2 linked regions of the Cricetulus griseus genome follow. The protein of the gene in region 1 purifies or fractionates together with the protein of each later gene. This does not show direct contact. Links are inferred from orthologs where the notes say so. Each region holds a gene or a part of one and is shown on either strand. Other genes may lie near its edges. The genes, in order: Retreg3 and Reep4.

Region 1 (3,814 bases):
TGCAGGGTATCTGATATATGCAGGGTATCTGATATGCAGGGTGTCTGATATATGCAGGGTATCTGATATATGCAGGGTATCTGATATATGCAGGGTATCTGATATATGCAGGGTATCTGATATATGCAGGGTATCTGATATATGCAGGGTATCTGATATATGCAGGGTGTCTGATATGCAGGGTGTCTGATATGCAGGGTGTCTGATATGCAGGGTGTCTGATATGCAGGGTGTCTGATATGCAGGGTATCTGATATGCAGGGTGTCTGATATGCAGGGTGTCTGATATGCAGGGTGTCTGATATGCAGGGTGTCTGATATGCAGGGTGTCTGATATGCAGGGTGTCTGATATGCAGGGTATCTGATATGCAGGGTATCTGATATGCAGGGTGTCTGATATGCAGGGTGTCTGATATGCAGGGTGTCTGATATGCAGGGTATCTGATATGCAGGGTGTCTGATATGCAGGGTGTCTGATATGCAGGGTGTCTGATATGCAGGGTGTCTGATATGCAGGGTGTCTGATATGCAGGGTATCTGATATGCAGGGTGTCTGATATGCAGGGTGTCTGATATGCAGGGTGTCTGATATGCAGGGTGTCTGATATGCAGGGTATCTGATATGCAGGGTGTCTGATATGCAGGGTGTCTGATATGCAGGGTGTCTGATATGCAGGGTGTCTGATATGCAGGGTGTCTGATATGCAGGGTGTCTGATATGCAGGGTGTCTGATATGCAGGGTGTCTGATATGCAGGGTGTCTGATATGCAGGGTGTCTGATATGCAGGGTGTCTGATATGCAGGGTGTCTGATATGCAGGGTGTCTGATATGCAGGGTGTCTGATATGCAGGGTGTCTGATATGCAGGGTGTCTGATATATGCAGGGTGTCTGATATGCAGCTGCTGAGAAAGGACCCACAGGTTGAGAACTGCTGGCCTAGGAAGAGCATCATTATATTTCAGTTCTCCAACAATTACTTCTTTTCATATACTCAGGACATGATCGGTATCATTAAACGTCTTTTCACGTGGAACTGATATTCCACATATAAGGCATAAACTCCATTTCCTTTTGGGGAGCTTGCAGTACTGGGGAACCCAGCCCAGCATGCCATGCATATTAAGCAAGTGTTGTGCCACTGATATATATCCCTGGCCCATCTTACCAAGGTGTAGACATTGATGATTGTTCACTAATGTACATGGTGTCCCATCCTGAAGGACCGCCTCTGTTTATGGAGCTTTCCAGACAGTTCTGAGGTTCCTTCTCTGTGTTCACTCTGGAGGACTTTTCCTGTAATGTAGTTACTTTGTACTGGCATGTACTGTTGGAGGCTGGAAGAAATTAGTTCCAGGTGTTTTATTTTATCTCCATCCATCCATCCATCCATCCATCCATCCATCCCGGAACTCATGTAGTGCAGGCGTGCCTTGAACTCACAGAAATCCACCTGCCTCTGCCTCCTGCACACTGGAATTAAAGGTGTGTGCTGTCATGTTGGACATCTACGTGTACTATTTTTTATACATAATTTATCTCAGAATCACATGACTGTTACCATCATTTTGTTCCATATGTCCACACTTCCTAGCTCTGTCCCTGGGCTGTCTGTGGCTTATTATATTATGCATAGCCATGACCTGTACCTTGTGGATGGCTACAGTAGTCCCTGCTCTCAAAACTGTATAATGGGGGTCATTAGTGGAGGTGACCTGCAGAAATAACTAGAATTTTCTGCAGTATCTTGAGTCCTAGGGACACAATAGTGGAGGGGTAGGTAGGATTGCTTTGTGTGATCTCTATTTTCCTACTGTTCCACTCTCCTCAGTTGTCACTGTTATGATGTGGCCTCTGGCTGTATATCACCGACTATGGGATCGAGCCTATGTGCGACTGAAGCCAGCTCTGCAGCGGCTGGACTTCAGTGTCCGTGGCTACATGATGTCCAAGCAGAGAGAAAGACAATGTAAGTGTTATGGGGTGGCTTTCTTCTACCTGACACTTTGAGAAAGTGGAGAAGCCAGGTGTCACATACTGGCCAAGTGTTAAAAGTGGGAGGAATAGGGTCCATGAGATGACTTAGCAGGTAAAGGTGCTTGCCACCAAGCCTGATGACCTGAGTTTAATACGAGAGACCTTTGTGATGGAAGGAGAAACACACACACACACACACACACACACACACACACACACACACACACAAAGTTGTGCTCTGACTTCCACAGGTGTTACCATTTCACATGTATACAGAAACAACAGATAAAAGTAATTTTAAAAATTTCAAGAAGTTTCAAGAAGTAGGGAGGGGGTAGTTGGTAGAAATCCTGGGTGGTAAGGAAGTATAGTATCCTATTTCTGAGAAACTTAGGCAGGCTTGCCAGTTTTTCTCACTTAGGCTCCCATTTTAAACCAATCTGAGAAAAACTCCAAGTTGAGTAAAAGACATCAAAGATGTTCATAGTCCACCTGCTTTTATGAAACACCTTCCAAGTGTCCGAGCCCTGTATTGACTGCTTTTGTACACTGTAAAAAACATTTACACTGAGTAAATGTTAATGTAGGGTTTTGCACTTTTTTGGTTTTTCAAGACAAGTTTCTCTGTGTAGCCTTGGCTGTCCTAGAACTCACTCTGTAGTTCGGGCTGGTCTCAAACTCACAGGGATCTGCCTGCCTCTGCCTCCCGAGTACTGAGATTAAAGGTGTGTGCCACCATGGCCCAGCAGGTTTTTGTACCTTAAGCCTCTTTCAATTAATGAAAGCTGTCTGCTAAAGTGGATTGAAAACAGCTACCATAGATGCCACAAGTGCACTACTAGCCTGAGGCTACATAACACAAAGAGGGTATCGTAAACTTGTCCCTCTCTTTGGTTTACCAGTTTGGGTGTTTCATTAAGCCCTGGCCTTCAAAGAGTCCCATATGTGGTCACCATCTTCATCTGGGCTTCATCAACCAGTTGAAAAATACCAGTCATTAAAAGCCTTGTTTAACCAACATGAGTGCCTCCCTTCTTCCTATGACTGTTCCCACTTGTACCACTTTGCTTTGTATTTGCCCCTAGCAGATCCTCAGAGTTCCTGGGTGGTTTGGTAGTTTATCGTCTAGCCAGAATCTAGAATGTGTAGGGCTTGGACAAAGGAAGGATGTTGGAGGAAAGATGTAGTTTCATGAGTTACTACTCAGCCTCAGTATTCTTACCTTTAGACATTGCTATGCAGACTTAGGGCTATATTTAGAGGGCCTCTTCTTGTGTCATGATGTTTTTGGAGTCCAAAGGAGATTTTCCCTTGAAGCCATCAAGGTCTTCTGCTCTTTCCACATAGTGCGCCGGAGAGCTCTACACCCAGAACGTGCCCTGAACAACCACAGTGACAGTGAAGAGGAGCTTGCCGCCTTCTGTCCTCAGGTATCTTGTGTGGGGAAGCGGCTCTACTGGCCTGTTTTCTTAATTCTTCTTTATCTGTCTAGCTGCTCACATTTAGATGGTAACTAGGTTTTAAGCCCGTCAAGGACCCTCGATTCCCCTTACTCTCTTCTCAATAGCAGCACTGAGGAGAGAACCTGCTACTGTATGGGCCTGGTGAACAGCACGTTCACTTGGGTTTCCTTTTACTTTACCATCATGGAAAAACCTGGAGCTGACGTAAGTCTATTCAGCAACCAGTCCACCTAGAGGTTTGGTTAATATTTTTCTGGATTATCTAAGACTGCCCAACCTCAAAAGGTTGATGAGAAAATGTTCCCTTTAGGGAAGCAGCCTAACAGGGGTCAAGGTTGTGGTGCAGTTCCCATCCATCCTGGGTGTCACTGGT
Region 2 (4,248 bases), on another chromosome or scaffold:
TACCAATCGGGGGTCTGCGTCGGGGTATCTGATCTTCCAGGTAGAGGGGATCTTGGTAGGTGGGAGCAGGGGTGTCAGGGATAGAGCGGAGGTCTTGCATGGAGAAGCTCCGTAGTCTTCCAGCTAGAGCACCCTGACTCTGGGAGGTGAGGGATGGGGGGGGCACTATATTAATTGCAGAAGAGGGCTACGGGGGAAGGGCTTTAGCAGGAAAGCTGGTCTGTAGCTAATCACTAGGGCACAAGATTCAGAACTGGACTGGCTCAAAGGTACTGGGAGTGGGGCTGCCGCTGTGAGCACTGGGACCCAGAGCACCTTGGTAGCAGCCTGCACAGCAGCTGAGGCCGCGATGTTGAGGCTCCGCTTCCCGAAACTGAGCATGGTCTCATAGCTGCGCTCCTTTGCCTGCACAATGCATGCATCGATCTCCTGCAGAACCAGAGTAGAGAGCTCAGATCAACAAAGGAGCCATTTCTCCGCAGACCCCAAGAAGCTACTGGCTGTCATAATCCCTTGCCCACTCTTACCTAGGACCCAGGAGCCACAGACAGAAGCTCAGAACAAAAACTAAGAGCAGGGTTCCCCACCCACAACACCTACTCCACACCTCAGTGAGTGTCCCTTCAATTTTCCCATGCCCACATCAACTTCCTGCTGGCATGTCACACCCCTGAAGTTCATTCACATGAGGGAAGCCAACCCCTTTCACAGTCCCACAGCAAGTGGGACAGGAAATGAGACCCAGGTATCTCTGGCTCCCTGAACCTGAGATACAGGGCTCTCCCTGACACACCCTTCTGGTGTTCCTTCTCTATCTCCCCCAGGGGTACCTTCTCATGGCGGGATAGGGACGGGTGGACAAACTTTCGGTAAAGCAGGCTAGCTCCCTTGGTGTAAGGTGAGAGCAGCCATAGCACGAAGGCCATCTTGATCTCATAGTAAAAAGGGAACCTGCGGGAGCACGGGGAGAGGTGTCTGTGAGCCAGGTGCGAGGTAGTGGGTAGGCCTTCCCAACCCATGGCCTGCCAATCCTGTGCCAAACCAGGAAATGAAGACATCTGTGAAGGTCTCTGCGGCCATGAAGATTGCAAAGACAATCCAGTACATCATCCACCGGACCTGTGGGTCGGAGTGCACAGAGCTCAGCTTGGGAGCCTGAGGTGCCAACGCCCACCCCCCGGCTGGCCCAACCCAGAGATTCCTGAGAGCCAGTCCCACAGCATTGCTGCATTTCCCCATGTCTGCGTAGAAAGGAGCCCCTGAGAAACTGCCTTTCATTCCAGTGAATGAATTCCAGTGCCTTTCACCCCAGCATGCTTCACCCACGAGGTCCTCCATGGGCATGCTAATGGCTGGCCCTCCTTTCACACTTACTTGACCATTCTACCCAAGAGCTGCCACACCATCAAGGCCCTGGAGTCTGAGAGGCCAGCTCAGCCGCTTCCATATCACCAAGTCTTATCACCCCTCCCTGACTGCTCCTCAAGATCAACAACATTAGTTAAGCTTTCCCGCCAACCCTTGGCACTCACATATTCTCGAATGTTTTTGCTCTTCACAGCCTTGTAGGAAGCATATGCAGGATACAGCATCCCAAATACGAGCCTGGAACAGCAGCCATGGGAAGTGTGAGGGGCACTATGCCCCACCCTGTCTCTGCCAGATGGCTGATTCCCCCAAACTGGGCTCGAGGTGGCAGTGCCTGCCCTGTTTTTCCCGCTTGGCTTGCACAACCCAAGGTGCCTGAGTCAGTGCCCTGGAGGCCGCCTCCCCACCCAGCTGTTTACAAACATCCCAAGCCTGCTCAGGCCTGCACTGGTGGCCCATGGGTACAGGATAGACAGAGAACACACAACGAGGTGAGTGAGAGCACCAGGCTGTACCCTTCCACTACACACAGACTGGCCCAGGGCCACCAGGTTGCAGAGAGAGACATTTGAGCCAGGTGTTGGAATATCCAAAAGTGAGGGGTAGACTTAAGAGGCCAAAGCCGGGGAGTGGGTGATGGGTTATATGGCTGCTCAGATGGGAAGGAGGAATCTGGATTCTCCGCCCACAGCTGCGCCTATCACCTTCTCACGGGGTTGTGGGTAGCAAAGCCTGAGCGAGCCCTGCCTGCACCTGTCTGCAGGGTGTGCGCATGTCGGAAGGGTCCCAATCAGCCTTTAGAAAGATGCGGCTTGGGAGAAAGGCATTCATTGATCAGGTCCCACTTCAGACCTCCAGGACCGTTAAGCGTGTGATAGGGGAAGGCTGATGGAGTTCAGAAAATTCTCTCCTTTACCAAACGTTCCCAGTTTCCACCCCAAAGGCAGGCTGGCACCGGGAATCAGAGGGGTCTCACAGGGGCCATACTCACACCACCAGACGACAGATCATCCAGGACACCATCCTGACAGCCTTGGGGATGACCCCCAAGAGACAACTGGAGGGACGCTGCACTCAGGAGCTGGGGCAAAGAGCCGAGTGGCGCTGCAGTACAAGTGTCCCTCGCGTACGCAGAGACCACCACCCCGACTCCGACCCCACAGTGCGAGGAGCCTGGAGAACCAGGAACCAGTGGACGTAGGGCCTTGAAGAGGAAGACGACTAGGGAGCGGGGAGGCGGGCGCGTTCCTCCGCCCCTCGCCGCGGAATCCTTGCGGCTCAGTCCAACAAGTCCTGCCAAGGAACACCGCGCGTTCGTCCGTTGGGGGCGCCGCTGCTAGCCCCGTGTCGGGGAAGCAGGTCCCGATCTCCGCTCTCACGGACCGTCAGGGTTCGGGGCGACAGACCACCTGCACCAGTGTCCGGGGCGGAGTTTGTAACTCACTTGAAAGTTGCACGGAACCTGGTTTTGCCCAACCCCGGTGCTCAAGCTCAAGGCGCAGGCGCAACGAAGCCTCCAGAGGGGCGGGGCGAGGTCGTGGAGACAAAAGGCCGGTCCCTTAAAGCGGCGATGCTGCTCGCAGCGCCGAAGTGGGGCCACGGGTCAAATAGTGTTCCAGGTCTGAAAGGTTAGCAGGTGGAAAGTCACAACGGAAAGACACAGAGAACAAAAACAACCCGGACTCCTAGCTAAATGTGGTGGCGCTCACATGAACCCCTGAGTCTGAGGCAGGAGAATTATCGGTTCAGGCTGGGCTACAGATATATCAAGACAATGTTGCAAACAAACAAAAGGAAAGAAGTTCATAATGAAAGAAAAAACAAATTGTATTGGAGTCTCCCGATATCCTGTTCTGCCTGTCTGTAGAATGAGATAAAGCGTGAAATGAGCCGGGCGGTGGTGGCGCACGCCTTTAATTTTCGCACTTGGGAGGCAGAGGCACAAGGATCTCTGTGGGTTCGAGGCCAGCCTGGTCCACAGAACGAGTTCCCGGACAGGCTCCAAAACTACACAGAGATGCCCTGTCTCGAAAAACCAATGAATGAATGAATGAATGAATGAATGAGCATGAAATGAATGCGTCCAGCGGGAGACTCCGGTGCCAGCTGGAAGTAGGCTTGGCTGATCCCTCCATCCTAATGGTCAAGAGTGGAGTCGGGGAGGCATCCTCCCAGGGGTTCCACTTCTCTCTAAAGCAGATCCATACATCTGGGCACACATTGACCCTAGTGTCCTGAGAGATTGAATGAAGATCCAGACTCACCCATGTCTTCTTTACCAGAAATTTGGAATTCTATCTGTGTCTGAATGAAGGATACAAACTTCACAGAAAGTTCTAAAACCATCACTTGCTATTTTGTGCAGTGCTTTCGTGCTCATGTATTTTTTTGTTGTGTGAGATGGTGGAGTTATTAAAGATTCTTCTTAAGAGGTTGGCCATACCGGAAAGGTATAATACTTGAAAATATTAAATAAATAAAAATAAATAAATAAATAAAAATTAAATAAATAAATAAATAAAAATAAAAAGGCGTGCGCCACCAACGCCCGGCCAAAACTTGGGTATTTTATCATCATTATCATCATTATAATTATCTTGGTTTTCGAGACAGTTTTTGTTTGATTGATTGATTTGAGGGGAGGGGCTATTTTCAAGTCAGGGTTTCTCTGGCTGTCCTTCAGCTCACACTGTAGACCAGGCTGGCCTCAAACTCACAGAGATCCTCCTTCCTCTGCTTCCTGAGTGCTGGAGTTAAAGGTGTGTGCCACCAACACCCCAGCAGTTTTTCTTTTCTTTTTTTCTTTTTTTTGAGATTTTATTTATTTATGTATACATTGTTCTACTTGCACATTTGCCTGCGTGTCAGAAGAGGGAAGAG

Evidence for each region.
Region 2: the proteins of Retreg3 (region 1) and Reep4 purify together in Homo sapiens (affinity purification with mass spectrometry; 3 studies listed by BioGRID and IntAct, with this or other methods). This does not show direct contact. The link is inferred for Cricetulus griseus from reciprocal best matches to the Homo sapiens genes RETREG3 and REEP4.

What each region holds. Positions count from the first base shown.
Region 1 is NC_048600.1:114,143,718-114,147,531, reverse strand, and holds part of Retreg3 (reticulophagy regulator 3), read left to right. Parts: intron 1-1,832; coding exon 1,833-1,970; intron 1,971-3,325; coding exon 3,326-3,408; intron 3,409-3,814. UniProt on the Homo sapiens protein: Endoplasmic reticulum (ER)-anchored autophagy regulator which exists in an inactive state under basal conditions but is activated following cellular stress.
Region 2 is NW_023276807.1:225,189,950-225,194,197, reverse strand, and holds the start of Reep4 (receptor expression-enhancing protein 4), read right to left. Parts: upstream 2,848-4,248; 5' UTR 2,392-2,847; coding exon 2,360-2,391; intron 1,606-2,359; coding exon 1,533-1,605; intron 1,120-1,532; coding exon 1,043-1,119; intron 952-1,042; coding exon 831-951; intron 430-830; coding exon 316-429; intron 140-315; coding exon 4-139; intron 1-3. UniProt on the Homo sapiens protein: Microtubule-binding protein required to ensure proper cell division and nuclear envelope reassembly by sequestering the endoplasmic reticulum away from chromosomes during mitosis.